2 linked regions of the Lytechinus pictus genome follow. The protein of the gene in region 1 purifies or fractionates together with the protein of each later gene. This does not show direct contact. Links are inferred from orthologs where the notes say so. Each region holds a gene or a part of one and is shown on either strand. Other genes may lie near its edges.

Region 1 (16,795 bases):
GATCAATCGCAACTCTTTGTAAGATGGGGCCACGATCTTTGGGGACAGCAAATTGCATGCTTTGGTAGAGCTTGAAAACACTAATCCCTGGTTGCCTAATCAAGATTTTACCTGTAGGAGTGTTGATGTTGCGGAAGGCAGAACCAGTTGAACTATGACCTTTGGTGGCGTCCCAGTGGAGGACCGTTCCATCGTCAGAGCAGGTAAACAGGTTGTTTGGGTTTGTAGGGTGAAACTTCACATCCCAAACTGACAAGAAATAAAACAGTACCATTATCATCAATAATAATTTTAATGATATTCTGCTTTTTTATATAGCGTGTAATACGTATCTAAAAGCTTAACATGTATATTACTCTGGTTATGTACACGTATCTCCCCTTCATAAAGAGAACTAACACTCAGTTCCAAGGTGTTTGCTTATTCAAAAGCAAGAACAATTATTAGTTTTCAAACACCTCTATTTCATAAACAGTAAGTTCTAAACAGATTGATGGAAAGAAATGTTTAGAAAACTATTACTTTATTCGAATGATAAGCTACCTAGTACTCCTGCATTTACATGACCATTACATTGTTAATTGTTATAACAATTGCCTTATTAACCCTCAATTTCCCGGGGTATTTTGATTCTTGTCATTCCCGGGGGGGGGGGGGCCATTATGGCCCCCCCCTTAAGATCTCAGCCGTGGATTGCGCGATGACAACGAAAATTTGCATGATGGTAGAGAATGACGTAATCTACGCAGTTGCATTGGTAAATTTCACTGAATTCATATATTTTTATTTAATATGAATTAATTATGCTAATTTATTCATGAAATCATACTTTTTGCTCTGATTCACTAAATAAAGCTCCTAGAATGCTATTTTTGGTGAAAATATTCTTTATAGCATTCCTAACAATTGTGAATGAAAAAAATTCTGGTACCAAGACCGATTTCTTATGTATTTTATTGTTTTTTAAATTTCTTATGTATTTCTTTGTTTTTTTACTTTTAGTTTTTTTATAGTTTTTTCTATGGAAATCGTTCCAGACTTAATTCTGATCATAAACAAGGCAAAATTAATTAAGTTTAATCATTAAAAGTAGAAATAATGATACATTTATGAATTTTGGCCAAATACACAATTTGCATTGGATTTGTACATGAAATCACGTTTATGAGCAATTTTGGGTCTGACATGCACTTACATAATGTTGCGTAATGTCGTAACCGCGTACCCGGGCGTCACAAATTTGGTCTCAAAATTTGCGCGAGACTTGAAAGTAAAAAGTCAGTGAGCGGCGAGGTCAAAAAATTTTGCGCAGCAGATATATCGCGAAAATTGTCGAGGGGGGGGGCCATAATGGCCCCCCCCCCCGGGAGAATTAGGGTTAAACATGAATACACAAATCTAATATCGCAATTTATTGCAATGTAAGAGACCTGCCATAACATGGTACTAACATTATCTTACTGAGCTTCAGTAATCCAGTCAATTTTGCAGAAGGCAAAAAGAAGAAATTATGAGGTTGATTCTTCGCATCAAAGCTGAAACAGGAAAATTATGGCAATGAAAAGCTGGGATATCATACCGTGACTCTGGTGAACTTCAAAGAGTGTGACTGGTAACTGTTCCTTTCTCATGTCCCAGATGTTGAGGATGCCATTCTGACCACCAGTGGCTACAAGATGAGGCTGGGTTGGGTGCCGGTCTACACAGTGAAGGGGCACCTTCTCTCCAGATCTACATATAAAAGTAGTTCATAATCCAGTTTACCATTCTGTGTCATGTTCAGTGATTATGTTGAAACAAGGATATTTTGGGTTGCCTGCATCTCATTACAGGACAAGGATCAAAAGAAATAAAATGTGCCTAACTTACTAAAGAGTTTTATGAAAAATGGCACTCTGGTGGCATTAACCCTATCTAGGCCAGGGTATTTTGGGAGTTCATATGGCCGAGGCCAGGCCCCCCTCCCCCTCGAGATGTCGGCCGTTGACCGCGCCGAAATTGAATTTGACATATATATATATAAACATTCAGTACAATGTCTGAGTCAAAAAGTCACAGTGAATCTAGTCTCCTGGTTCAGACTGTTTTATGCTCTATTCCAAAACCAAGGGTATGTGCCTGCAGTTGTACCTTTAGTGTTGAAAAATGCCATTTTGTGAAAAAATGGAAGAAAGTAAATGCTTACTTGAATGGGTAAATGAAAAAAATTGTCAAAAGATGGGTTACTTACACTATAAAGAACCTTGTTGGCTGTGAGCCCGGCTGCCGTAAGTCCCATATCTTGAGCTGCCCAGCCGAATTCACTGTTATTACCTCATGCTGTTTCAGGTGTGTCAATGCGTTGATGCTGCAGCTATCAGCTTCATCTATGTATGATGAGAAAAAATACGCAAGGGGCTATTTCATAAGCTCTTCACAAGATCCGCTTAATGCAAAACTGGTGATGTGACCAAGATATGTGATATCTCACTCATACAACTTCCACATTACCCTAGTACATGTTTCACTTCTCTTTTATCTAGGCCATCATTATATTCACTGTATTCTTTTTAATGAGACGACAGGTAATAGATGTTTCATCATGGTTGAATTGTTTGTCAAATCATTAGAATGAGCAGAGACTCAAAGGGAGATGTTTTGGGGATAATTTCATTGTCCAAAGGGGTGAGTTGTACAAGTATGACATCAAAGAGCTTGTTTGCATGGCCAATATGAGGATCTCCATACCATTAGTGAGCTTAACATTCAAGTGCTCATAAATTTCTTATTGCCAACTTCCACTGATCTTATTCATTTATTTTCTGCTTTCAAACAAGCTAACTTGCTCCAGGGTTTTCATTCTTCTTTAAAAAAGAATTTTCTTATTGTTTGTCTGCTAATATTCAAATTTTCATCCATCTTCTTGTCCACCGGCGTAAATTCAAGCAGTGAACCTATTGATCATAGGAAGGGGGGTATGAACTATTGTCTTCCCCCTCAATTGATTGGTATGACATTGTCTGTTTACACCTGTGTTCTTGTCTGATTTTATTCCTCCAAAAAACAACTTCTTCAAATTTTTTTCGTGGACAAAATACCCTTAACTTTTGGTTAAAACCCTTTTTTTCTTCTTTTTTTTTTGCTTGTCAAATTTTTCCTCAAGAAAATGTGCCCCCCCCCCTTTCGAAAAATCCTGGATCTGCCCCTGCTCACCAATGGTTCTTATCGGTTGTCTGTGCTCCAGCCGCAGGACGTTAATCCTTCCGTCCTCTCCGCAGGTGGAGATGTCCGTTCCATTGACGGCTATGCAGGTACAGGAACAGGTGTCGGCAGGGTGGTGATGAATGCCGGACCATTTCTGAGAGGGCGCAAAGTCCTGAAGAGGTAGAGGAGGTGAATTTTTTATGATTATTTTACCTTATCATTCATTATACCAAGTGGAAATAAGACAATAAATGCACAGCCAAACTTGCAAATAGACAAAGTGGCAATTACACAAAATAGTTTAATAGTATTTCCATGCCCAGACTTACCCCTTTAGCTTTGTTGCACCTGAACGCTTGAACACTTCCGCATGATGAAGAAGCTAAGAAAACATCTTGGTTGACAAACTACAGGAATGAAAATAGAATACAAGAATGCCAATTATTTGCACATTTACCCTGAATGGACCTAAGAATGACATGCTACAAGATTGATAAAGTGTTCAAGTGAATAAGTGTAGAACAAATCAGAATATGAAAACATCAAGATGTCTAAATTCCTTTTTGGAAAATGAAATAATGAAGCAATTCAAAAATAACTGCAGGATTGGTTATAAAATTCCAGCAAATCAAAGTTCTTGGAAGATCATCGAGTGTAACATTTCAAAATAGAGGGGAAAATTGATTAAGGGGGGTAAAAAAAAAGAGAAGTACGGTAATACCATTGATTGCAAAGCATGGGCCTCCAAGAGCCTTAGCAAAAATTTATCGAAATGCAGCATAAATCACAGTTATCTAGTGCTTACTTATAATTATGATCATGTAGCGAACCAATTAAATATGAATGAACATAGGAATTCATGACCCAAGGCCAAGAATAGATAATTAAATTTTATCATGGTACATGTACATGTATGTGATTTATTGTTCTGGTCACCCTGCCTACATACATAGACATGAACAAAAGTCAGGTTTTGCAGGAGCTTAAAACTCTAACAAGGAGAGTTTCATGTTTGAGGAGGCACTCACACATATCTTGCATAATCTGATTTTTTTTTAAAAAACTTCAACTACGTGAAATACATGTCTTACGGATGGTCAACTTTTAATGCCAACTTAATTTCACATTTTTTGTTTCATTGAACTTCATGAAGCAATATTAAATCTTAGATAAATCCAAAACAAAATAGGAATGAATCAATCAATTATAGAAAACTTATACCTGTATATCTGTGACATCCCCATCATGTTTCATCTGACAGAGCAATACAGGCTCCTGTTCTTCTTCTCCTGCTTGTCCTTCTAAGGCTGTGGTCCTCTGCTGTGGATAGTCTTGTTGCCAGGCTCCTGCAGCCCCTGCTTTGTTCTGGACACCTGGAACCTTCCAAAGTGAGATCTTATTCTCCTGCAGATTTTTTTTTTGTAAGATGAAAATGAAAGAATTATTCTCAAAGTTTACACAATAGACAAGATTGCATGGCATGGCCATAGGAGACCTAAGATTATTTCTGACGATTTGAAACCAATCATCCAACATCAAAGGTTATATTTATTACAGTATATCATGATAAGAAAAAAGAGAAAATAGCTCGGCGTCCACTCTCTCCCGTTCAAAATTGCACACAAAACGGCAGACCAGTCCCGATGGGAGCATACACGAATTCTAGCTCAAGTTAGCGATGAAAAGATCTGCCCACAGCAGCTCAACTGTTTGTTCACATGATTTTAGTCGCTAACTTCAGTTTACATCAAAATTACTTGGATTCGCCTTAATTTTGATTATATCCAGACTAAAGTCACATTGACTGAAATCATGCAAAAAAATGGGTGAGCTGCTGTGGGCAGATCTTTTAAATAATTTCAACTTCAGTTAGAATTTGCGCATGCGCCCATCGATAGTCCGTCATCTTGTGCATTGTTAGACCAAAAGCTTCAGTCTCTGTATTTTGGTTGTTCCGCTGAACTACGTTGGCTCCACTCACCAATACATAGACTGAAGAGCTTGGAGGCCCGTACGTACAGCCAACGTATTAAGTGAACTAACGTTTTATAGGTCGCGATTTTAAACTGTTTTTAAGCGAAATTTACAGTTTCATGGTTTCAATTATCAGGGAAATATAAATAACTTAAGTAATTGCGTACCTTGGACAGAAGTTATTGAAAAAAATCCTCTGGATGATTGAGAAATCTTTCATCTAAGACATTTTCACCTGAGCTGAGGGTTTTTCTTGCAAGTTGCCATCTTGAATGACTTCATTATTGTTATTAACTTTTTAATGTCTCGATATATCGAATGTCGTCTGCTACCTGTGATGGTAACGGTGTTTCGGTACGCTCGCGTATGGAGCAGATCGTATAATATCGAAAGCAATATCGATATCATATTCGTGATTGTTGACGCCCTCTCCGTTCGTTTGTAAATATTTCATAGTTTGGCTGCCATTTTGACCATTTTTATCGTGTTCAACCCAATTAAACATCGGTAAAGTATAATTTTCATGCCTTTTCATCTATATCGTTTAAAGTATTTTGATAATGGAATATCAAGTTTTAAAAGTTTGTTGGTTATACATCCTTAGATTGTAAATTCGATGTGTAAAATTACATCAAACTTTGGACTGTGAATTGACAAAAGGGAGGGAATGAGAACACATGCGAGCCCACACGTACACCCTACCGTCGGTAAATGGGGATTACAGTAAAATGTCAGAAATTGTTGAATAAATCCCCAGAAACGACGGTTATTCCTGTCTAGTGCATTGTGTGCAATTTTGAATGGGAGAAAAGAAGCCCAACTATTATTTTGAGGATCATGTTGCCGAATACTAGTACTAGGCCTAGTAGTAGTACTTATTGAGGATAGGGAGTCTGTGCGGACAAACATCATTATAGTACTTATAGCCTATAGGATTGAGCCGAGGTGGGTGCATTTCTGCATGATTTGCTATCTTTCTTTTTTTTTTATTTGGGGTGTTTTGAGGTATTATTGTGGTACCCCTTGGCCTTGTGAAAAATCTGATCGTGAAGTCCAACTCCAACTTAAATCTGCAAAGCTTAAGTGCCCAAAAGGCAGGCTAAAAAAAAAAGGCCACCCCCAAAAAATTGTCTTTTCAATTCATATTTCATGGTTATCATACCCATAAAATAAATGTTTTTTTAATCATCAATTTTTCATGCCCACAATTATGAACATGATGAACGTTAATCATGTCATAGTATTGGTAGTTTGCAAATTCGCCAGTAATTAGAGTACATATGAATGACTTTATTGCCAAAAGTTAACTTGCAAATTATTTCTTTTTTGGGGGCAAGACGGGCGCTCCCAACCGAAAGCGGTCTCGCGTACATACGCAACGGAAATAAGCATCTGAACCGTACACACTAAGTTACAGCTCAATTGAATTTCACAAGTTTTCATTCGTGATCTATCGTCAAGGAGCTATAAAACACGTACCTCATCATCCCAACTTCCGGTTAAAAATGTATCGGAGAATTGAATTCCTTTGAATGAAGAAGGCTGCCATCTGACTTTTCCAACTTTCTGCGAAACAAACTTGACAAAAATATCCATTTTATTTCACTTCAGACAAAGTCTTCAAATCAAATTTTGATTTTCCGCTGCCGCTGTAATTGTGTGAACGTAGATGGCGCGCATCGCATCCGGTTTGATTTCTGGTTGAGGGGCCGGGGGGGAGTAGGGAAGGAAGGAATGGGGGAAATAATTACCTTCTGAATCAAAGAATGATCGAGTCAGAATTAAAGATCGATTAACCCCTGTACCATTACCATAATTCTACGATCATTGGTGTCTCCGTAAGGCGTATAGGTCTAGATACCCGGGGATACCCGCCACAAAGATGCACCCAGCCAGCTGAGCAACTCCACCTTAGACAACAATCGTCACCAGCCAAATCAGCATATGTCATCACAATCCTGATCATGCATCTTCACTCGTCGCGGGCATGGGCGGAAATCCCAGGGGGGACAGGGGGGACGTGTCCCCCCTACTCAAAATAGTAGGGGGGACACAATATCAAATGTCCCCCCTACTATTTTTGTCTTTTATGATAGTAAGAAATACATCATTCTAAATCGATCAATAAAACATGTATTTTGGGACGAGTTGGGACGAGATGATAGTACTTTTGGGATGATAACCTTTTTTTTGCTAGTCAAATTTTCCCGCCCCTTGTCCCCATAGGCTGATCCAGGGGGCCGAGGCCCCCCCCCCCCTATTGGCGGAGAAAAAAAAAGGGAAAAAAAGGGAAAGAAAGAAGGAAAAGGGAAAAAAGGAGGGAAAAGAGAGGAGAAAAAGAAGAGAAGGACGACGAGTGCATAAAATAAAATGAGGGGAAGACTTGGAAAATAAAAAGAATCTTTCGTGCCACTATATAAAATTTTCGCTCGCGCTTCGCTCTCGCATTGCCTGTTAGGTGATTGACATATCTTGTTTAATATGGAGCTCAACTATCAAGTTTGGAAGTCAATATACAAAACATATTTCACCTCGGAAATCGAACTTTCATTATTTTGTGTGATTTACAAATTGATTTTTAAAAGGTGCTCTGTAAAAATGTCAGTTTTATGGTCTGAATAATGTTATCAACATTCGCTGCTTCAGTTTATCAAAATTTTAGCTCGCGATTTGCGCTCGCATTAATGGTTAAAAATATATTAACTGATGCATCCTATTCATAATTACAAAAGTGAAATGTCCAGTTTTTATGCCATAATATCATCAGATTTCTCGCCCTCATTAGGCATCAATAAATATGATATTAATTTAATAATTAAATTGTCCCTTTTGTTTCATCTCGCGCTAAGCAAGAGGAATAGGAAGATAGTCATCATTTTCATGACATGTCGTATAAGGCTGTCCCGGTCCTATGTCAAAACTCAAAGTAAAAATAATGAAAATTTTAGCTCTTTTTTTTAAGTGTGATCCATTTCCACTTTACAATTTTCCTACAAAGTGCTTGAAATATAAAGCTGTAATTGACTTTTTTTTCAGATCGGAATATCAATGTTTCATGATTTTCATGATTAAAGATGTATTTAGAATGCCTAGATTCTTGTTCTAAATTATGAAACACGCGCGCGCATGTTTATTCAAATACTCCACTTGTTCTCTATTTAAATCATTATCCAGTTTCAGATCACAATATCAAAATTTTTCTGCTTGCGCTTTGTGCTCGCATTATTAATGTAGGAAGACCCCCTTATATTACTCATCCTTTTCATGATTTACAAAACATTGATTTTGATTGATTTATTTTATTTAAACACGTTAAAAAGCCCTCGATCAGCCTATGGCTGTTTACAAAACATGAACAGAGTGGCCCATTTTTAGGTCTAAATCTCGATTTTTTTTCTGCTCGCATCAATTGTTGAATTATATAGCTATCCTGTTCACGATTCCGAAAATTGATTAAAATTTTCCATTCTTTCTTTAGAAATTTTCAAAAATTTTCAGCTCGCGCTTCGCGCTCGCACTTTTTGATTGTTGAAATATGTAACGCCTTCATGGCTTAGTGCAAGCAGTCTTTTCAACAGGTACCAGTTCAAAACGTATATAAAAATTTTCTGCTCGCATTATTAATACTCATCCTTTTCATGATTTACAAAACATGAATAGAGTGTCTCGTTCAGTAAATATTATAGGACTAAATCTCGAAATTTTCCGCTGCCGATCGGGGAAAATATGGCTGAAACAAATGTCCGCGCGCCCCCCGCCCCCCCCCCCCCCCCCCCCCCATTGGCGAAGGCTGGATCCGCCCTTGTGTCCCCCTACCTTTTGGGAGAGATTTCCGCCCCTGGTCGCGGGACTCGTCGCCATGAATATTGTCGACATGGCCGTCATCATATTCAATGTTCATGAGTACACCACGTAGGCCTACCTTACCTATCATCGTCATGATGAGTTACCTCCATGAGATCATGACATAAACATAACTGGAAGCTACTCGAGAGCAGTATATTACCAGTAAAAATCACACATTTTGTACAGTTGGTTTCTAGTATTGTAGATAATGTAGGTTAAGTTAAAATATAATCTTGTTTCATATATTAGGAAGATTGTTGTTTGCTTCAGATGTTTGCATATTATTTGACTGATGGATATGTATGTATTTTATCATTTTTTTATCCATATTCCAGTACTTGTCGTAGTTTATACGTTTTGTTACAATATGTTAATGTTTTATACTAACTATAGGACCCCATTGGAAATAAGCCTTTCGGCTTTCATGGGCTATCCTGTCAAGGTATTCTTCAATTTAATTGTAATCTCCTGTGATATTTCAATCAATCAATCAATTCGTCGTGTTCATCATCATCATCCTCATCACTATCACCACCAACGTTATCACCATCATCACTCTCCTACTCCTCCTCCTCATCATCTTCCATGGGCGAAAATCCCATAGGGGGCAAGGGGACGCGTGTCCCCTACTTCAGTACAGTGGCGTAATTAACAGGCGGGGGGCGGCGGATTTCACCGGGAAAATAAAAAAAACCGGGAAAGAGAGAAAGGGAAAGGGAAAGGGAAGGAAAGACAGAAAAAGAGGAAAGGTGAAAAAGAAAGGGAAAAAAATGAAAAGAAAGGGAAAGAAAGAACATAAAGAGGGAAAATGGAAGGAAAGCGGGAAAAGGAAAGGAGAACACGTGAGGAAGTACAAATATCCTGAAATACTAATACACTATAGCATGATACCAAGAGAGGGATATGAAATCAAAAGATATGACTCAATGGCACGGACAAGAATGGCGGGAAAATTGGAGAAAGAGGCAGAAAGAAACGGAAATGAAGGTAGAACCAAAAGCTTAATTGGAAAATCAAAATATAGAGAAAAGGGACGAGAAAAAAAGAGAATAACTTAATAACAAGACCGGGTTGCCGAGGATAGAAAAATATAAAGAACGGGAAGAAAGGTGGGATGGCGTCTATTATTTGCCACCTTTCGCAATCCTCACGGCTCACGGACGCTAATATTAGGGTCCCCTAACACAAAAGTTGACGCTTAATCATACACTTGATTTTTAAGATTGATTGTACATTACAGGGGCTGCGGAACGGTTTTCAAAGTGGGGGGGGGGGCTGAGCCAAAAGTGGGGGGGGGCTGACCATGCTAAAAAATCACAATCATATGGTCATTTTTACGTTTTTGTACACGGTTTTGGAAAAAAAGTGGGGGGCTGAAGCCAGAGGCGTCGATCCATTTTTCAGATTGGGGGGGCAAAATCATGAATCAACATTCCAAAGGCGCTCGATCACACAAAACAGACTCAAACACACACACACATATGCCTATATGTATATATATATATAGATTATATATATATATACATATATATATATATATATATATATATACACACACACACACACACATCTCACCAACAAATTAAATGTAAAAAAAATTAAAAAATAATAGATGCGAGCGCGAAGCGCGAGCTGAAAATTTTGATATTTTGATCTTAAAAAACAAGAGTTTAATTGACGTTTTTAATAAAGAACAAGAAATAAATCCAACAAAAGATTATTGCAAATCGAAGTGGGAGTTCTTTTGAGGTATAGAACTGAAAACGGGACATTCTATTCACCTATTCAATCATGAAAAGTATGGGTTTTTGCTACAGAAATGATGCGAGCGCGAAGCGCGAGCTGAAATTTTTTTATATTCTAATCTGAAAACCGGACATTTTTAGCACGACTTTAGATGAAGAACGAGTTGTGTATTTCAATCTCGCTTGCTGATTTCTGTGTAACATTACAATCTTATTTTATTTTTTGCACATGCGGAATTATTGGGGGGGCAAAACGATATGTTTGCCCCCCAATATTTTCATTGGTGGGGCGGTTGCCCCCCCTGCCCCCCCCCCCATGATCGACGCCTCTGGCTGAAGCCCCCCCCCCCCCCCGGTTCCGCGGCCCCTGCATTATAGTCAATAGAATCAAACGTAGAAAACTGCTCTACAATCAATGCTAAGATTTGTTTTACAGGGGGGGTTACAGGCCCTACAGATCTGCTTTTCGTGTGCAAAATTCTTTCCCGCGACACCCGCGCGCCATACATGCATGTATTACGACTGATGGCTGGAGATATTCGAAATGCAGGACCTAAAATAGAATATGACATGTATAAGAAAGTGGTGTTTCAAACAAATCGAGTACATATTAAGTGAGGAAAAACTTACTAAATTAAGGCTTAGATGTAGATCATTACAGTCCATGGAAACGATATTGCATTTAATGTGGATTATTGGTGGATGACTGGCAATTGATTCCATGGGTCAGATCACCTCTCCAGCCGAACCCATTTCGCATATGTACACAGCGTATGCAATACGTTTGAACATGCGGGTTTCTTTTGTTTCTTTTGTTCACTCCTTCTACACAAACGATACGCCTCTAGCACACGATGTAAAGGGTATTATGTTTTACTTTCCCCTGAAATGGGGGGTTAGATTCAAATTCCGGGGGGACCACTTCCATTGATGAGTGGATACCAGGCACGACCATGGGGTTTCGAAAAGTACCCTAAACAAGGGAAGCAAGTCTTTTCCAGATTATGAAAATGCATCTTTTAACAATTATTTGGCTTGTGAAACCCTACAAGTATTGGAAATATATCCCTTTTATCAGTATTTTAATCATCGTTTTTGACACCTTTATAACGTTACATAGGCCTATATACGTAACGTACTTACCCACTCTTTCCCTTGTCACGCGTTGTTGCGCCTGGTATCCACTCTTCAATGAAAGTGGGCCCCCCGGGCGGCCTTTCGAGCTCTGGGAGGAACCAAATGTGGATTTGGAAAGTCGTCCTAAATCGGATATATCGCTGTTACCATAGTAGCAACCAGAATTTTGTACACGAAACGCAAATTGAATGTTTCCGTTCCAGATGCGAAACGAAAAAAAAAATCTCATGTCGCACAATTTGCATTGCAGGACAGAGTTTTAAGACCATGACGACGGGCCCAAAAGTCAATTCCAAAATCAACTAACGTCGTAAATAAGCGTTAGCGTTCTTCCAACGAAAGGTCGGGATCATCCCAGGTATTAAGCACCTATCATACTCTGAACGTCTTCGCCTCCTGAAATTGCCATCACTCAGTCACAGACAGACATAAAAGAGGTGACATGATTGACGTGTACAAATATCTGCATGGTTACTATGATAGAAGTTCTGAGCTTTTCTGTCTGAGAAATGGTGGTAAAACACGTGGTCATTCCTTAAAGCTAGAGAAAAGGTCTTGATGTGCGTAAGTTTTTCTTTGCTAACCGAATGATAGATGTGTGGAACAATCATCTCCCAGAAGATGTAGTTACTGCTTGTTCAGTGATTGCATTTAAGAATAGACTGGATAAGCATTGGGAGAAGATTGCCTATGATTTTGAGTGATTTTCGATTCTCGTGTGTTTTCATGGAATTTTGTGCTGGCTACGATACCCCCGCCACCCCTCCCTGCCAACATCAGTAGCGCATCTAATTTTGTCTGAAGGAGAGCAGCAATAGACATTCTACTTTGATCGATGAACATGGTTAGTCCTACAACATCGTTGGAGTACACTAAACTATAAGCTTGCTAATGGTCACAATAAGGACAAACAATCCCGTGAAAAATCCTTAGCCAATTAAAGTAGGTTTAGCCAATATAAGGGCTGGTTATCCCCCGATTTTATGTCCTAAACATAAGTAAAGCTTTGCGCTGGCTAGATTTACCGTGAAAAGCCTGTTTACTTAGGCTAAATTTCCAAAGCTACTATCAAATGAGTAGAATTTAATCATTTTTAAAAGCCAATTTTTTCTGGCTCGCTTCGCTCGCTGGCGACTTTTACAAATGTATCCACATTTTTCTATGTTGTGCTGCCTCAAAATATTTTGTTTATTGTCCCCAGCTGCGTTGAAGTTAATATGTGTTGTGTATGTACCCGCGATTTGATTATCAGTGGCCATCTGCAATGTTTAAAAATATCCCGGGGTTCCGGTGGCTCCGCCCAGACCAGTGGCGGCACCAGGGAGGCACGGAAGGCATTTGCCCCCAGTGAGTTGGCCCCACCCCCGAAATTTTGAAAAATAAAAATATGTATGGTAAATGTTGTCATAAACATCCTACTAAAGCTGTAAAGTGCTCCAAAACAGCTTTTTCGTTCCTTAAATTTTGAAAATTTTCTCATCAATTCACTGTTAGCTCCCAATAATGTCACTAAATCTTTCAGGTCATTATACAAAATTCAAAATGTCGCCCGCGCTATACACGCTCGCAGTAGCTTTTGACTGAGATAAGTAAATTATCTGTTGAAATGGGGCTTATTAAAATCAAACTTTCAAGTCAATATGCTTCTCGCGATTAGAGTTTTCATTATTCGTTTTAGCGAGATATACTTCCTGCCTACTCATAATTTTCATAAATAAAAAAAAATTCAGCTTGCGCTACGCGCTCGCATTAAAAGTTTAATTAGATAGCCATCCAGTTCATGATTACAAAAAGTGCTTATAGATCGAACGTCCAGTTATCATCTCAAGATGTCAAATATTTTCAGCTCGCGCTTCGCGCTCGCATTATTTATTTGGTGAGGTCTCTTTTCAAGTCAGTAGGGTCTACACTAAAAAATAATAGTTCGCGCTTCTTGCTCGATTTTGAGAAATTGGCAAAATATTTATGTGTTGACCCGCCCCAAATGTTCTTTTGCCTCCCCCGAGGTTAAAAATCCTGGGGCCGCCATTGCCCCGGACCCGTTCCGCATAGCACTGACCCCCGAAAGTTCTAACAAAAAAAGAAAAGATGAAAGAAAAGGAAAGGAAGATGTAAGATTATGATGTTATTTTCCGAATACCATGTCAAAATCAATCTCAAAGTTTGATTCTCATGAAAAGCTGATTTTTTTTCTCGCTCGCTTCGCTCGCTCGGTACTTATATTAAGCATCTTTTTGCTGCGCGCGCCACGCTGTGCCCCCTCTTTTTTTTTTTGGGGGGGGGGTACTTATCACGCATTGAGCTTCGCCCTAATGCTCGGGGCACAATCATAAAAAAAATTATGTTCATACCATGATATGACCGGGAAATATTTAGCTCTTGCTCCCCCTGGCCACCAACCCCTGTTACGCCCCTGCCCTACTTTTTGGAAAGGGGGAGACAATATCAAATCCCCCCCCACACACACACACACACACTATTTATGGAAGGATAAAAATAAAAAAAAGGAGAAAGAAAAAAAAGGGAAAAGAGATTTTATGTCCTAAACCTAAGTAAAGCTTTGCGCTGGCTAGATTTACCGTGAAAAGCCTGTTTACTTTGGCTAAATTTCCAAAGCTACTATCAAATGAGTAGAATTTAATCATTTTTAAAAGCCAATTTTTTCTGGCTCGCTTCGCTCGCTGGCGACTTTTACAAATGTATCCACATTTTTCTATGTTGTGCTGCTTCAAAATATTTAGTTTATTGTCCGCAGCTGCGTTGAAGTTAATGTGTGTTGTGTATGTACCCGCGAAAGGAAAGGAAGATGTAAGATTATGATGTTATTTTCCGAATACCATGTCAAAATCAATCTCAAAGTTTGATTCTCATGAAAAGCTGATATTTTTTCTCGCTCGCTTCGCTCGCTCGGTACTTATATTAAGCATCTTTTTGCTGCGCGCGCCACACTGTGCCCCCTCTTTTTTTTTTGGGGGGGGGGTACTTATCACGCATTGAGCTTCGCCCTAATGCTCGGGGCACAATCATATAAAAAATCCTGTTCATACCATGATATGACCGGGAAATATTTAGCTCTTGCTCCCCCTGGCCACCAACCCCTGCCCTACTTTTTGGAAAGGGGGAGACAATATCAAATCCCCCCCCCACACACACACACACACACACTATTTATGGAAGGATAAAAAAAAAGAGAGGAGAAAAAGAAGAGGACAAATAAGAGGAAGACGAGTGAATAAAATAAGGTGGTCGAGAGGAAGACATCTTTCATGCCACTTTAAAACATTTCACGCTTCGTGCTCGCATTGCCTGTTATATGAGATACATATCTTGCTCAATAGGCTGATATATGGAGCTTGAAATGTTAAGTTTTGAAGTCAATTATAAAAAATATGTTTAACATCGAGCTTTCATTATTTCGTTTGATTTACACATTGATCATCATTACTACCACCACCGTGACCACATCATCATCATCGTCACTAAATGCCCACCATTATGTCGTCAACATTATACTTCCACCACCAACGCCATCATTACACCCATAGGCCCGTATTCTGAAGTCGGGTTTAACTTAAACTTGTGGTTTAAGTATGGACAGCCAAATGTTACATAAATCACTAACGGTAGATATATCATATTTCAGCTCATTTGGCTCTCAAATCATTCATAATTGTGTAGCAAGTATAAATAGATGGTTGTCTTCACCATCGATAAATCAGGAAAGAGCACAGTAAAAATAAGAAACATACAACTTAATACAAAATTTGATACATTTGGCTCGCCATACTTAAACCACGACTATAAACCTGAGTTTAAGTTAAACCCGACTTCAGAATACTGGCCCCTGTCACCACCGTATCGTCATCATCATTATCAATATCAATATCTCGCCACCATCTTTACTACAACATCCAGTGACGTAATAAGCCACACATTTTTAGGGAGGCCAGACTTGGCGTATGGGCTTGGTCGTGGAACTTTTTTTGTTGTGGGCCATGTCTACCCATCCCCGTAATGTACGTTAGTGACAGGGGCCGCGGAACGGTTTTCAAAGTGGGGGGGGGGGTGGTGACCATGCAAAAAATCGCAATAATAATGGTCATTTTTACGTTTTTGTACACGGTTTTTGAAAAAATGGGGGGGCTGAAGCCCCCCTCCCGCTTCCGCGGCCCCTGAGTGACACCATCACTTTGACCACCACCATGCACCAATATTGTCATCACCATTAAATTACCACCACTATTTTAACCATCATCAATCACCACAGCCGCCAAAATTAGTATCATTATCTTCATCATCATCATCATTATTTCCTCCATAATGAGGACAATCGTCGTTACCATCATCATCACTTTCCCGATCCCGGGGACGGTGGGGGGGGGGGAGGGGGCGTCCCCGCCACCCTGCACTCATTATTCGTCGTCTAAAATCTAATAAAATATCTCTCACATAATTTTAATAGGGGGTGACGTCACGGACAACCCCCCCCCCCCCCCCCCCCCGCTGTTTGATATTCGCGAATTATCTTATCGTTATTTCACCATAGCTAATAGAGACCACATTGGAAAAAATAAATTCTCTTCTCCAAGTCAAAGTTTAATATATTGCATATTGCTAGAGTTGTTAACTACTAGTAGTTGTTACATTGTTAAATAATTTACAAGTAACTGGAATCACCACATTCTCTATTGCATAATATAATACATAAGATAATAATAATAAGAGCACTTTGTATATCATCTGTTGTCATACCCCTTTCATAAACCCAATTATGCGGCTAATAGCAGCATAATTTGGTCGTAAAATCGGAGGACCAGAGTTATCCGCATTATTTTGATGCTGCTATTATCCGCATAATAGCGGCATCAGGACCAGATTTTGACTTTATGAACGCATTTCCAAATAATGCG
Region 2 (16,448 bases), on another chromosome or scaffold:
CATCGACCGACTGCCACACTGAAGCTGAAATTCAATTTCCCTCCCCACCCAGCTTACTTCAGACTTTCCACCAAATTGATGAGAACCCAAGAATGATGTCATCTGTTTATCTCAACAGTTCTTGTCGTTGTTGTCGTCGGTTGAAATTGGTCTAAGGTTATATTAGCTGTGTGAACTATGCACTCGGTGCCTCTTGGAATACCCAAGTTTATATGTTATAATCATGATACTCCACCGGCTGATAAAAGTGGTTTAAGCACACCGTAGACATGGTAGATGTGATGGGGTGAGGGTATTATTAAAGGTACTGGGATTGGGACGAGATTCATTGTGGAGTGGTGTTTCCATGGCAGCAATCCATTTGACTGTATTTTACAATAATGTTTGACTTATCGCAGGCATATACTATACGTCAGTATGTTTCTAAAGTCAAAATTGACGAGAGAAAATGGCCAGAGTTCAGGTACAAAGTGAAAGTTAAACAAGATGATAATTAGTTTTAAACTTTGATCATTCCACTATCGAAGAAGTTCGGTGTGATTTCCTTCATGTCTGTTCTTTAAGACAGGATTTTTCCCCACTTCATATTTGAATTCATGTTTTCCATTGCTATTATTTTTTCTATCCGCATGAATCAATAATCACAACCGGAGCATGCAGTAGGTGTATTTTACCATGGACCTTATACAAATTCGAAAGCGAACACTGTTTGACATGCATGCATGTATACAAGCAGTGAATATACATCAATAAGGGTAAAGAAATGTCTTGACAAAGAAAAATGGTGTAACCTAAACTGTAGGTTGGCATATGGTATTTTGAAGGGGCCGCAGAACTGGTTTTTAAAAATGGGGGGGGGGGGGGTGGACAACAAATAGATGGAAACTCATGGGGCTTCATGTGATACCGTTACTGTCATATTTCTGTATCTATTTGAGTAACATATTTTACTCAATAATATCTAATATGATAGTCATATCATCATGGAAACATGATACAAGTTTGGCTTGTATTAATGTATTATCTTAAATAATCCACGTATTGAAGTAATAAACGATATCAAATTCATTGAGCGAAAAAACCGACTTGTTAATGCATTTGTTGTCATTCAATAAGATTTTATTACCTCCAGATTTTTTGTTTTTTAGGGGGGCTCCCTCCCCCCCCCCCCCTTCATTATAAATAACGATCGTCTTTATCCCTAAGGAACGGTCAACATGGTCAATGGTAAAGCTCGGTTGAATAATCTGTCAAAAAAAGTTTTTAAAAATATATGCCCCGAGTATATCTGAACCCACGAGAGTTATGCCTAACAATCACTTGTTGATACGTAATATTTACTGTCATTAAAGGTAAATATCAACCTCTCTCTCCAAAGATAAGCAAATTTCGCAAGTTCAAACATTTTTATTTTTACACACATTTAAAGAAGATATGAGCAAAATTGACCGGAATTAATTTTATTCATCTGGTCAGGATGTAGAAAAATTATGGAGTTTTAATCAGAAGTACTCTGTTGGAAATTTGTGATAGACATGCCCCATTTATATCAGTGCGTCTTAAGCAAAGAGGTGTACCATGGATTAATGATGACTATCTGAATCTAGCACGAGAAACGTGGAGGAACGTATCAAATATCAATATTATGTTCTTGCTTTCAAAATACAAAACGATTTAGCCACAGCCTATCTGGGACCACTTATCTGCAAACGTAATGTAACTTATAAAACACGATATTCTAAACAACGTCCCCTTCAAATACCATTATAAAAGAAAATCTTTTGAATATGTTGCTGCCGTCTTATTTAATTCGCTCCGTTGTGATATACAAAAATGCACGTCCCTCCATTATTAAAAAAACACTGTAAATCATAAAAATTCTGACTGTCATACATGTAATTAAATTGAATAACTTGATGTTGATGTAATGATTCCATGATAATTGTTGATTCACTCTATCTATATAATGTATGCTGTTTTTACTTTATTATGTTACATACATTGAATTGTTATGATGTTGAGTTATTTGTTAAACTGCAGCTAGGCGCCTTTGGAAAGCAGTTTTGCATACCTAAACAGGCCTACCCTGCAGTATCAAATAAAGAAAATCAATAAATAGATAAATGAATAAATATATAAATAAATAGATGACTGAATAAATAAATAAATATAGTTTTTGTCTCACCTGCATAGCAGAGTGAGACTATTGGCTCCGCTTTTCCGACGGCGGTGGCGGCGTCAACACCAAATCTTAACCGAAGGTTAAGTTTTTGAAATGACATCATAACTTATAAAGTGTATGGACCTGGTTCATGACACTTGGACATAAGGTTAATCAAGTATTACTGAACATCCTGCATGAGTTTCACGTCACATGACCAAGGTCAAAGGTCATTTAGGGTCAATGAACTTTGGCCAAATTGGGGGTATCTGTTGAATTACCATCATAACTTTGAAAGTTTATGGATCTGATTCCTGAAACTTGGACATAATAGTAATCAAGTATCACTGAACATCCTGTGTGCATTTCAGGTCACATGACCAAGGTCAAAGTTCAATGAACTTTGGCCAAATTGGGGGTATTTGTTGAATTACCATCATAACTTTGAAAGTATATTGGTCTAGTTCATAAAACCTGGACATAAGAGTAATCAAGTATCACTGAACATCCTGTGCAAGTTTCAGGTCACATGATTAAGGTCAACGGTCATATAGGGTCAATGAACTTTGGCCAAATTGGGGTATTTGTTGAATTACCATCATAACTTTGAAAGTATATTGGTCTAGTTCATAAAACTTGGACATAAGAGTAATCAAGTATCACTGAACATCCTGTGTGCATTTCAGGTCACATGACCAAGGTCAAAGTTCAATGAACTTTGGCCAAATTGGGGGTATTTGTTGAATTACCATCATAACTTTGAAAGTATATTGGTCTAGTTCATAAAACCTGGACATAAGAGTAATCAAGTATCACTGAATATCCTGTGCAAGTTTCAGGTCACATGATTAAGGTCAACGGTCATATAGGGTCAATGAACTTTGGCCAAATTGGGGGTATTTGTTGAATTACCATCATAACTTTGAAAGTATATTGGTCTAGTTCATAAAACTTGGACATAAGAGTAATCAAGTATCACTGAACATCCTGTGTGCATTTCAGGTCACATGACCAAGGTCAAAGGTCAATGAACTTTGGCCGTAAAGGGGGTATCTGTTGAATTACCATCATAACTTTGAAAGTTTATGGATCTGACTCATGAAACTTGGATATAAGAGTAATCAAGTATCACTGAACATCCTGTGCGAGTTTCAGGTCACATGACCAAGGTCAAAGGTCAATGGATATTGGCCATGTTGGGGATATTTGTTGAATTGCCATCATAACTCTGTAAGTATATTGGTCTAGTTCATAAAACTTGGACATAAGAGTAGTCAAGTATCACTGAACATCTCATGCGAGTTTCAGGTCACATGACCAAAGTCAAAGGTCATTTAAGGTCATTGAACTTTGGCCATTTTAGAGGTAATTATTAGATTGCTGTCATTACTTTCAAAGTTTATAGATATAGTGTATAACATGTGGATATAGGGGTAATCATGTATCACTGACAAGTTTTAGGTCACATGATCAAGGTCCAATGTCAATGAACGTAGTATTGTATCATTATATGAATGGTGTTTTTTGTGAATAATTATTTAAATTGTGTTTTTTAAAGTCAGCACTGCTGATGCAGGTGAGACCGCCAGAGGCATTCCACTTGTCTATCAGTTTGAATCTGTTCCACATGACAATTCACTTCTTTGGTGATTCAAGCTCTCCGTCGTAACAGAGTAAGTTACAATACATGACGATATTCAATATTTCATGCCTGGTTCCAATAAGTAATTTGACCCCCCCCCCAAAAAAAAAAAATGTCATACGATGTACAAAAGCAGTAGGGAATTTGTAACATTTTCCCATCGATAGACTCGGTCTTTGGATATTGTTATGCATCGACAGTTTACTTTAAAAGCTATCACTTCTCAGGGAAGGCTGTATCAATTTTTTTATTTTTTTATTTTGCTGTTACCCTCAAAATCTAAATTCAGGGGAGTAGCCGGGGGGCGGTGTGGGCGGTCACCCAAACCCCCTTAAAAATCCCCCCCCCCCAAAAAAAAGGAAAAGGGGTGAAAAGGTAAAAAATGTGAAGGGAGAAAAAATAATAAGGGTTTAGCTTTATTGGTTTTCTTCTTTATTTTTTTTTCTCAAAAGAATAAAAACCTGAACGAGACGTATTCTCTCTCTTAATTCATACAAAAAAAGTTTTGCTTACGCGCTCTGGTAAAATTACAAAATTGTCTTTCCCTGTTCTTAATTACACCCCTTTTCTACCCCGTTTTCCCCTCCCCAGTTATTTTACCGTACAGTATAAAAGTATACATTCGCGTACAGAATTACGTAGAAGCGGGTGTGTAAAGTATGAAAAGTTATCTTATTTATTTCAAATTGATGATTTGTGAGGTAAAGATAATTATGGCTATTTGATTTCCGCGCTACCGATCGGAGCGGGTAAACACCGTCACTCCCCATATGCTATTTCTTCCTCTATTTAGCAAGCAATTTTTGGCAGGTATCTGCTCGTAGGGGCAGGCATTAAATTTATACCATGCATGCTACATACAAAAATAATATATGCGATGAAACTTTATTCTATATCCCTGTACACCATCCCCTGTCTTGTTTGCGCCCTCAATTCACGTAATTTTAAATTTTGAATTGGAAGCACCATTATGAGCAAAATTATATATATATATACTGTTCGGTTTGTTGGGTTTTTTTTAAATATAAATCACAGAGAATTCCAAGCTTCGCGTGAGCCTGAAGCGCTTAACCATTGTGTACTCTGTTTTCTTCGTAATCAAGAGATACAATATCAGAAAAATCACTTGAATTAGACCAGGTGAAGGTGAAATTTCAGAACTTCAACGCTTTAGTCAAGTAACACCCCAACATAACCGTCAAGTTGGGTATGGCTACGATTTTTTTTGCTGGAAGTTGTAGTATAGAGTGTCTACTCCAAGAATCCGACGGGTGCCACCTGGGCACCCTTGGGCATTTTTTTTTTATTGACGTCATAGGCCACGCCCACTTTTTCACATACCTCTTATATATCATTTTCATATTTTACGGAATTAACATGTCATGTTTGGTATCAAATTAAAGTTTATGAAAAATCAAATGCAAATATATGGATTACTGTGTATTTAAATCACGCATAGGTCAGTTATAGGTCGCTTAAGGTCATAAATTGTCAAATTGCCTTACAAATATAAGTAAGACATGTAATGCGGAACATACCATGATTTAAATATAAACAAGTTAGGTATTATATGCATTTTTTTTGCAAAGGTTAAGTTTGAGAGTGTGAATATTAAGAATCCGATGGATGCTTCCTTGGCATCTTGAGGAATTTTATTTTTCTGACGTCATAAACCACACAAACTTTCAGTTACATTCCTCTTTAATATGACTTTTCTATTTAACGGAATAAACATATTATGTTTGAAATAACATTAAATAAAATGCAAAATAAAATCCACATAATATGAATTGCTACCCATTTAAAACGTGCCCAGGGCAATTAAAGGTCATTTAAGGTCATAAAAGGTCAAATTGGCTCACAAATGTAAGTAATGCAGCAAATAATGTGGAATATATCATGTTTGGAATACAAACAAGTTAGGCATTATTTATGTAGGTCTATTTTTGGCTGAAAGTTATGTTGAGGATGTGCAGATTAAGAATCTGACGAAGCTCGGCTGCTTTGGCAACCTTGGGCAACGTCATTGTCTGATGATATATTTTAATATCTAGCGTACAAAATGAAAATATCATGTTTGGTATCAAATTAAAGCTTATTGAAAATGGAATGTACATAAAGGTTACCCAAAAAATGAAGCACATGTAAAGGTGCCCTTTAAGTCATTTACACGCATGAAATGTTGATGATTGCTCGACTTTCACAGGACTTATACAAAACGTTTAATTTATCATTTTGTATCAAATCATTCCATGGGATTCCAAATAATCTACACCAATTTAACATCTTACACAATGTCCTGTTATATTCCTCTCACAACTACCCTCTGTACCATAATTCTTCGACCGGATGCTCATTATGATTCCCCTTCACCAACAACCTCAACTACATGCCTCTGCCAGATATGTGTTACTTTGATTCACACTTGCAGTATGAACTATGAAATACGTGATTCGACGGCCGACCAGCAACTGCATTAATCTTTAAAAGTTGTAGAACAGGGTGACGCTGACTTGTATCGACAAGGAGGTTCTTTTAATTCCTTGGGAACAACCACTGTGTCATGAACAAGTACGGAAGGTCCAATGCCCTGTTCCACTATCTTCTGAAGATGTAATGGCAATAGATGCATGTAAAAAAATTCTCTGACGACACTAACCTTTCTGTTCTACCAGTCTTCTCATTTTGGGCTTGCAAGTCTTTTGCATACTGATGGAAAAGTAATTGGCATTAAAGGTATTGCATTGAAGTTTAGAGGAAAATACTAGCCTTGCACGATTCCCTATCAGGTTGTAATACAATGTTGTGTCAATTTGGCAAGGGAAAGTTTTCCACTTTAAACTTGCTGCTCGAATAATATCTTAATATATAGAGTCCGATGCTGAAGAAGTGGACTGGATGAATTAAATGTGTAATATTCATACTCTTCATCTTGCTTTACTAATATAACAAATGTAATGGTCTCTCTAATATAATTCACATGATTTAGCAAGAAGGCAGATGCTTCAAAGATCATAGGCCTACCCCCAACTGACAAGTCAGCAAAAGAGCATGATTATCAAAGGTGCTCTTCCTCAGGAGCTTGATCAGGAGAGCAACTGATCAGAATTACTCCCCTGCAAATTGCCTCCCATGCATCGATGGGAAGTATAAGTTAGGAGAACACTCCTGTACCTGTTCATAGCACATTAGTTACTCCCAAGGAATAATTATCAGAACTTGTTCCATGTGGATTTAAATCGGGGCCACCATGCTCTAGGGTAAGCATTTGCCTCTTATCGTGTATCGTACAGATCGTATGTAAATAACATTGTGTCATTCTAAACACAAGGAAAACTGAACATGCAGTTGAGACTAAAGAGGGGGAAATCAGTCTGGAAGATGAATGAGAGAACAACATGATAGTGGAGTTAGGAGGATGTAAAATGTCAAATTTGTCCAATTGGATACTTGTCTAAAATGTGAATTTGTGTTGAAGAAGTCATTTTCTGAGGTGTCTCCAACACGATTGATCTTAAACTGGAAATTGTGTGTTATACATTATTTACTGTTACTGTATATGATTCTGTCCTTGATTATAAACTAAAAAAAAACACTGTGCAGTTTTATTTCATGTAGGAAAATTGGTGATACGATGCCAAGCTTATGTTACATGTTTTTATTAAACTCTTGTTACATTGCCTGACATCATTTGACCTACCTAAACATTACTGCACTTTTGGTGATCTTGTCTTGTATTTAATCTCTTTTAACTTTTATAATTGCATTTTACTTGCCATAAGCTTAAATTAGTTAGCAAACACGTTAGGTTTATTCTATAAAGTGTCACTTTCTGTCATAATCATGATAATTACTCATAGGCCATATATATGTGAAAAGTGGGCGTGGTTCGTGACGTCAGATATAAAAATTGCCAAAGGGTGAGCAGGTAGAACTCGTCACATCCTTAATATACACACCCTCAACCAAACATGAGATATTCCACATTATATGTTGCATTTATTACGTTTGTGGCCCAGTTTGACCTTTTATAACCTTAAAATGACCTTTAATTGTCCTGGAAAAGTTTTAAATGCCTAGTCATTCATATATATGTGGATTTTATTTTGAATTTGATTTAATTTTATATCAAACATGATGTTTATTCCGCTGAGAGGAATGTAAGAAAGCTGGTGTGGTTTATGACGTCACAAACTTAAAATTCCTCAAGATGCCAAAGTAGCACCGGTCGGATTCTTGATATGCACACCCTCAACTTAACCTTTGCCAATAGATTCACATAATATCCAACTTGATTGTATTTAAAACATAATATATTCCACATTATATGTACTTCTTACATTTGCAAGGCAATTTGACCTGTTAAGACCTTAAATGACCTTTAACTGACCTATGCGTGATCTAATTGTCCAATGATCCATAAATGTTACATTTGATTTTTCATTAGCTTTAATTTTTTATACCAAACATGTTTATTCCTTAAAATATGAAATTCATATTTAAGAGGTATGTGAAAAAGTGGGCGTGGCCTATGACGTCAATAACAAAAAAATGCCCAAGGGTTCCCAGGTGGCACCCGTCGGATTCTTGAAGTAGACACCCCATACCGGGCCCCATACTACAACTTCAAGCAAAAAAATCGCAGTCATACCCAACTTGACGGTCATACAATAATGTTGATCAAATCTACCCGACTATTATGTCAAAATCTATCACAAAATAGGATTTTTGTAACAAAAATGTCGAAATTTTTGCTCGATCACAATGAATTTTACCGTAGGCCTATATTAATCTGTATCTGGCCTCCTTAAAATCTTTGGCTCATTACATCATCGTTCTCTTTAATGTATTTTTTTAAGTTCAGAGAGGGGAGTTTGTGATCGATGTGATGAGCTAACAATTTTGAGCCGGGGCTAGACATGGCCTATGGGACATTTTTATTTTCAAGCCAGCAAGCAAAATATTTGACCTCTTAATAAAAAAAAAAATCTAATTTTGTGATAAATTTTAACATGATTTGAATATTATATACACCTTTCCCTTTCAGTATCATTATCATTGTTAATGCTACTTTTCATCATTGATGTTGTTGTTATGAATATGATATTGATGATAGGCCTAATCATTGAAAAAAATATACAATATGAGCCCTATAAACATTACAAGAAAAAAGAAATTGATTGTTATATACGATAATAATCACTACCATCATAAATGTTCTACCGTGCATTATTGGGAGATGATTAAGCAGGTAATGCCCCTTTTAATTAGGGGGATATCCCTCCCCCTTGGATCGATACAACTTGGGATTTATTTCGGATAAAGGAAAATATATAAGACAATTTGTGAATGACATAATTCGTATGTGATCTATATCCCTCGCATATTCACGCGGCGGCGACGCGGGTAATTTGGTGAAATTGGAAACTGGGACTGGTCAGGGAATCGACGCCAATCATGCAGAGCTTTCAAGTTATTGAAGAAACACCGCAGTACTGTGTTGAAACGTTTGGACCATCGCTTCCTGTCCTAATAACAGAAGTACTTTTACAAGCTGATCGTAAGTGTTAATTTTTATTTTTGTTTAATTCGTCAATACAAAGTGCAATACAAGTGAATGTGTTGTACGGTACCATCTATTGAAATCTGTGTAGGCCTACCGGTTTTCATTAAAACCTTATCGGAACGTGAGGTCTGGATCTTGATTAACGTTAGATTGATAAGTATAATAACTGAGACAACGATAATAATAATTGTTATTATAATAATTATAATTTTAATAATACTAATTATGATTAATAATTATTGAGACAACCATATTAAAATAGGGTGTCTGGAGAAAAAATTATTTTTCTTATTTCAAGAAAATATCACATTTTCTTTGTGAATTTGAAGAGAAATGACCTTCAGACTGACAGAAATGTAACATTTTTGAAAAAAATCCAATTATTGGCTGCAAAAAAGAAGAATGAAATTGGGTAAGTTTTCAGCATTTCTCTGCCATAGACTGTGTAGTTAAGAAATGGACACACACAAATCCAAATTTTTAGCTTCCGAGAGCTGTTATAAGTTTATTATTAATGCCAAAAACTTGTCCATAGTGAGTCCAATAGGATTTTTTATGCTCTATCTGATGGTATGATTTTTATAAAGATTTGGAAACCAGATCACAATGAAAAATTGGGACAAAGTGAAACAAATCGTGCAAAACAGAAATTTCATTTTCCCATAGAAAACGCATGGAGAAATGGCAATCTCAACACACACAAAAATAAGGGTTTGCAATTTATCTCTAAATATCCTTATTTAAAATGATCATATAAACTTGTCCTTACTATCAAAAGAAGCCCCTGAATTTTCTCTTTCCATACATGCCAAACACAAGTTAATAATCAATTCAGATCACATTTTTCTAGTAGCCTGAACTTCCCCCCCAAAATGTGCCATATTTTCCCCTAAATTAGCCTGTTTTATGCTGACACTTTTCAGTGTGGCTTCAGACACCCTAATTAAAATAATGTTAGTGAGACACTTTCTTTGACTTGTCTTTGACTGAGGCTGAGCTGAGTCTGAAGTGAGACAACAAATTCACCTAGGCCTATAGGTATGTTGCAAAAAAAAAAAAAAAAAAAAGAAGAGAAATGAGGTGTTTGCTTCATAGCATCATTTAGAGCTGATCAAGAACTTTCATTTAATACCTCATTCATTTCAAGAGCCCCAGTAACAAGAAAGTTATGGTAGTTTTAAGTTCGCACAAATCGACTCTTCAATTTGTTTTTAAAAACAAAAGTTGTGATCTTAATTGGGACCAAGGTGCACTAATATAATAGAAAACAACAATGCGCATACATTGGCAAATGGAAGTGCCCAACAACACTCCCAAAAATTACAGACATCGCCGAAACAGGGACATAAAAAACACACTTAGCGTCAGCAGATTTCTTTCAAATTTCACCACAATGTAGTTGAAATGTTGTTCTATCGGAATGAATACCTGTTAGAGTGGGATGATACCTGTAATTGAATAGCAAGAGGTTGAAAGCAAGGCCAAAGTTCCAGTAGCACACAGAGCTGCAAGATCACCGAGTGAGATTTTTGTTCAAGTCTAGACAGCTGCCATAAACATTCAACTACGTAAAAACAATAATGTCATTGGGAATAACCTTTTCTTGCACATGCAAACACAATACAAAGCAATGCCCCCCCCCCCCAGTCACCCTGAGATTATAGGCAGCACACTCAATGCCGCATTCAGAATGCACCTAGAGGTAGGGCGCTTTTGCAACATACCTACAACAAAAAATTTATGAATATTTAGAATTAAGTTAGACTAGATCTAACCTAACGTCCATGCGCAGTGAGTCGCCATTGGCAATAATCGGCGATCTTCAACCTTCAATTTTGCACCAAAAAAAATTCTTACCCAAATCGTCGCCCGAGAAAAATGGCAGCTAAAATTCGCACCGTACGGATCCAGTTTGCAAGTCTGACTTTGACTGCGCTAGGGCTAGGACTAAAACCCGAGTACCCGGGTCTCGCCCGGAAGCCTCGGGTACCCGGGTAGAAAAATCAATACCCGAAAATTGCTTACCAGTATTTGATTTGTATTGCGTAGTGTAAGACATGATTGTAACTCATCACAAAAGTACACAAGTCTCATTTTGAATCTCACCAATTACCCTCGAAATATCCATAAATATACAAGTTTTTCAAGTGATGATGTGACTGAGATCGTTCGATCGTCGCCATGTTTCTTTTGCAGCTTGAGCATACGAAGCGCCAGCCAACCACGTTCGTGTTACTATTTTCAGTTCATCATAAACTGGAAATAAGGTTTATCGCTAATCAGAATTGCAATGCATCATGGGATCGAAAAGGGGACCGTTAGCTAGCTCTGCACGTGCGCAGAGCTTGCTAACGGCCCCCTTTTCGATCCCATGATGCATTGCGGTTCTGATTAACGATATACCTTATGGTAACACGATCGTGATTGGCTGGCGCATTCGGCGCTCCAAAACTACCCGGAAATCAATTGACTCTGTGCATGTAGCGATAGATTCTACAAACTCACGAACACGATGTAATATCGACGCTACTTCGTAAGATTTTGACGGAAAAGCAAGAAGTAATCAAAATTTGCTTACCTGTGTGGTATCGGTGAGAAAACAGATCCTCTGAGAAAATATTTCATAAATAATATGAAATATAGGAAAGTAGAATTCTAGGTCGATTTTGGTACGAAGTGACAAAGTATTGCAGACTTGTTTTGATGGAATAATGCGTGGGGCACGGGAGGCTTGCACTGCGCATGCTTACTATATTTTCATTCATAAGTTTGCTTGCGGCGCAGTGGCTGGATGACGTCACCTATGGGGTTTTTCCACCAGTCATATTTCATGCGACATGATTTTCGGGTACCCGCCCGAAAATTACCACGGGTACCCGAAGACAAAAATACCCGAAAGTCCCAGGCCTAGACTGCGCTAAACTCCTGTTTCTTTTGCTGGATCTTTTAACCAAACGTTGCAGCATTTCAGGGAATTACTGAGGATTAATGTCAGATGCCACAAGACACTTTTCAACATTGCAAATAATTTCTAGAACCATTTTGGTCAGAAAGTGACAGGTGAGTGGCGCAACAATAAAAAATTGCACATGGTGACTCACTGCGCATGGACGTTATAGATCTGATCATGACGGTTATCAATCATAATTAAAATAATTATTGAGACAACAATGATAATAATGAGACAATAATGATAATGAGACAATAATAATATTGTTTTTATTGAGACAACAATAATAACTTCTTTTTTTTATTTGATAGCATTTATTCCATTCATCATAAAAACAAATACAAGGTACATACAAAGTTTACATAAATTACATGGGAAAATTGCAAATATTACAATGATAAAATCTGGGAAACAGTTGAATTAAAAGAAAAGATTGTACATGATTTATAAATGAATGAGGAGGCAACTAGAAAGGGAAAGCCTTATTAGCGCTGCCACCTTTACAGAATCTGGAAACTGAATATATATATGATATTGTAAAATACATGATGTAATAAATACTGAATACCAGATATAAACATTGAACATAAAAGGGGAAAATACAAATTATAACATTAAAAAACTATAATGATTATGAAGAGGATCTGACTTCAATACCAAGTATTCAGAAGAAGACTCGGACAGAGCTGACAGAGATTGAATTCAGGGAACAAGACATAGAAGAGATACTGTCCAAGCTTGGACATTAATAAGTCTCCTGGCCCAGATGGAATCAGCTCCAGAGTATTAAGAGAAGTTTATAAGGAGATAACTAGTACATCATTTAAGATAATCTTTACGAATCTGATGGAAGAGGGTACTGTTCCTGAGTGATGGAGTCAAGCTTAGCCAGGAGGTTCCTGGAGATTAATGTCATATCACTGACGTGCTTAATCTCCACGGAGCCAGGGATGGGATGCCATTGCTCTATGCGCACCAAGTATTTTGGCAACAACAAAGTTGTTGCCAAAATACTTGTTTTCTTAAGGGTTTTGAGCCCAAACTTATGTAAATGGGCTACAATACAATTTAGACCCTTTTTTAAACTAAAGGGTCATATTGTAAAATAATATTTATTATCAAAAAATTGAAAATATTTAAAGTAGAGGAGCGTTTACTCACAGTCTGTTATTGTCGCCATCTTGCCATCTTTGTTATAGCCTAGCTATAAGACGCGTATAGAGGGCGATAATATCATGAGCAGTGCCCAAAAAATACTTGCATCGGCCGATAAATATCATGAATCGTAAAATACTTGCATCGGCCGATAAATATCATAAAGATCTTGAATGTTTTTAAATTTAGTACATTCCAGTATATATTTTGGAAAGGTGGTAAGCTGATTATATACACTATTATTTTCTCTTTATTATTGCGCCCCTTTTCGCCCATCAAAAGGGTGAATTAAGTAGTAATCGAATCTTGCGCTCCCCTTTCTCCATTGATGCTGTAGCTAAGCGTTGGTCGAACCTCCACCATTACGAGCCCAATGGCCGTCATTGGTCGATTGACGAAGGGGATACCGTGTAGCCAGACAAAGTCTTAGCGGAGCATATCCCTGACAGAAATAGACCTATATATCGGTCTAGATCTGGATGTGCACAGTGCATGTCATAAGTACGATGCGGGGGCGCATTTAGCCTAGAGGACTCTGATGATATTTTTATCATATTTGTCTTTTCATCACAGAGCCTAGACACTGGGGCTACAGACCTGCATGTCGTACATGGTAAACAATGACGGATTTCCCTTGAAAATCCATATTTACATGTACCACATTAATTTTGGGAAAAATAGAATTAACCTTGTACTGTATTCCACTTTAATCCATATAAAGGATTTAGAAAATATCAATAACAAAAGATGAAATTAAAAGGTTTCTTACCAGACAGACCTATCTCTTAATTGCAGCTACTAAATGTTCCCACGCTTTATAACACAATTGGCAGAACTCGCTTCCCATTGATGTAAGGACGGTGAACTACCGTTATGAGGCACTGTTTGTAACACAATTTTATACTCAATTTATTATTTAACAAATGATAATTATTTGCATCACATTTTAGTTGTGAATAATTATGTATAAAAAGTATTTTGAAAAAGGCACATGGTTAGCATGATTTTATGAAGTGACCTAAATCCCCTGTTTTTGTAAAAATTAGCAGTTTCTGAAATGCATACTTGTACTTCTTTTCAAATATTAAAAGAATAAAGTCAAATTTTGCATCTTATGAAAGGGTAGAATGTATGCTTTAAATTGGTGCAGGGTGCGACATAAGCGCTTGCCCGATTGCCCGGGGCAAGTAAAAGTTAGAGTCGGGCAAGTGTTTTGAAGCAAAGTCAAAAACTGATTGCCCGAATCGGGCAAGCAAAATTCTCCTATGGAAATTATATTTTACTTAGAAAGATTCCCCATGTTTCACCATCAAAATATAGAAAAGAAAAAGAGACACAAAAAAGGCAATATCATTAATTTTCTTCTTTCAAAAAGTCTTAAGTTTTGTGGCGTGGCGGTCCGTCGTCTGTCGTCAGTCACACAAAATGCTTCTTCTTTAATTGTTGACCGATCATGATTCGAATTGCAAAATTTGCGCCATTTTCTGCAATTAACACACAGCTCAGAGACGTACACACACACACAGAATCAATGACAGTCTAGCATACCTAGCTAGCTAGCGCCTAGTCCACGCAGCCGATGCACATGCATGTAGTTTCTACGGAGTACGATGCTGCACGAACGAAGTTTGCTCTGGAAGAAATCTCCTACAGAACTGTCAAATTCACATTTCTTACCAATAAAAAAATTCATGTAATGTCCATATTTCCTAAAAATTGGGGTAGCTCTGTCATTTGTAAGCAGTAAAAGGAGGATTTTCACTTCTGTTATGCTTCAAAAAGATTGGGTTTCGAATGATCGTCTGTATCGCACACACAGAAATACATTGTTTTGACAGTCCCACATATGCATTGTGTGTATGTTGATAAACGTGGTTTCTTTCGTAACTGTTTTTTTTTAGCCAAGGAAATTGATAAATTTTCTTCTTTATTTATGACTGGATAGTTTGAGCTTTCTTCCTCTCTATTTTCTTTCTTTCTGCCTATCTCTCCTTCTTTTCTTTTCAATCTTTCCTTTTGGATCTCTCTTTATTTCTTTAAATTTCCTTCCTTCTTTTGTTAATTTTTTCTGTTACTATAGCTGTCTTTCTTTTTGTCATTCTTTTCTTTCTATCTTTTTATCTTTCTTCCTTCCATTGATCCAACCTTTGTTTACCACTTTCTTTAATCCTTCCTTCTTTTTCCCCTTCCTTTCATTCTTTCTTACTGTCTTCCTTCCGTCCATCCATTCTTTACCTTTTCTTCCTGTCTTTTTTTCTTCCTAACTTTCTTCATTCCTTTCATTCTTTCTTTCTTTATTTCTTTCCTTCATTCCTTTCTTTCTTTCTGATTTTCTTTATATCTGTCTTTCGTTCTTTTGATCTTTCTTTTTTCCATCCATCCTTTCTTTTCTTCCTTATTTTTTCTTTCTGCCTTCCTTCATTCCTTCCTTCATTTCTTTCTGTCTTTCGTTCTATCTTTCTTTTCTTTCTTTCTTTTTTCCTTCCTTCCATCTATCCTTATACCTTTTCTTTCTTCCTTCTTTCCTTTCTCTCGTTTTCTTTCTTTCTCTTTTCCTTCCTTCCATCAGTCCTTAACCTTTTCTTTTTCTCTTCGTTTCTTCCTTTCTTTCTTTTTTTCTTCGTTCCTTTTTTTCCTTTCTTCCTTTCTCTTCCCCTCATTTTTTTTTCTCTCTATTTTTCTTTCTTTCCTTTTTTCTTTCTGATTTTCTTTTTTTGTCTTTCGTTCTTTTGATCTTTTTTTTTTCCATCCATCCTTTCTTTTCTTCCTTATTTTTTCGTTCTGCCTTCCTTCATCTCTTTCCTTCATTTCTTCCTTCATTTCTTTCTGTCTTTCATTTTATCTTTTTTTTTTTTTTTTTCCTTCCTTCCATCTATCCTTATACCTTTTCTTTCTTCCTTCTTTCCTTTCTCTCGTTTTATTTCTTTTCCTTCCTTCCATCAGTCCTTTACCTTTTCTTTTTCTCTTTTCTTTC

What was found.
Region 2: the proteins of nucleoporin Nup43-like (region 1) and nuclear pore complex protein Nup133-like purify together in Homo sapiens (affinity purification with mass spectrometry; 5 studies listed by BioGRID and IntAct, counting the BioPlex papers as one, with this or other methods). This does not show direct contact. The link is inferred for Lytechinus pictus from reciprocal best matches to the Homo sapiens genes NUP43 and NUP133.

The regions. Positions count from the first base shown.
Region 1 is NC_087258.1:19,773,471-19,790,265, reverse strand, and holds the start of nucleoporin Nup43-like, read right to left. Parts: upstream 6,829-16,795; 5' UTR 6,754-6,828; coding exon 6,637-6,753; intron 4,588-6,636; coding exon 4,405-4,587; intron 3,591-4,404; coding exon 3,513-3,590; intron 3,356-3,512; coding exon 3,193-3,355; intron 2,367-3,192; coding exon 2,231-2,366; intron 1,732-2,230; coding exon 1,580-1,731; intron 250-1,579; coding exon 112-249; intron 1-111. UniProt on the Homo sapiens protein: Component of the Nup107-160 subcomplex of the nuclear pore complex (NPC). The Nup107-160 subcomplex is required for the assembly of a functional NPC.
Region 2 is NC_087251.1:11,267,757-11,284,204, forward strand, and holds the start of nuclear pore complex protein Nup133-like, read left to right. Parts: upstream 1-9,260; coding exon 9,261-9,363; intron 9,364-16,448. UniProt on the Homo sapiens protein: Involved in poly(A)+ RNA transport. Involved in nephrogenesis.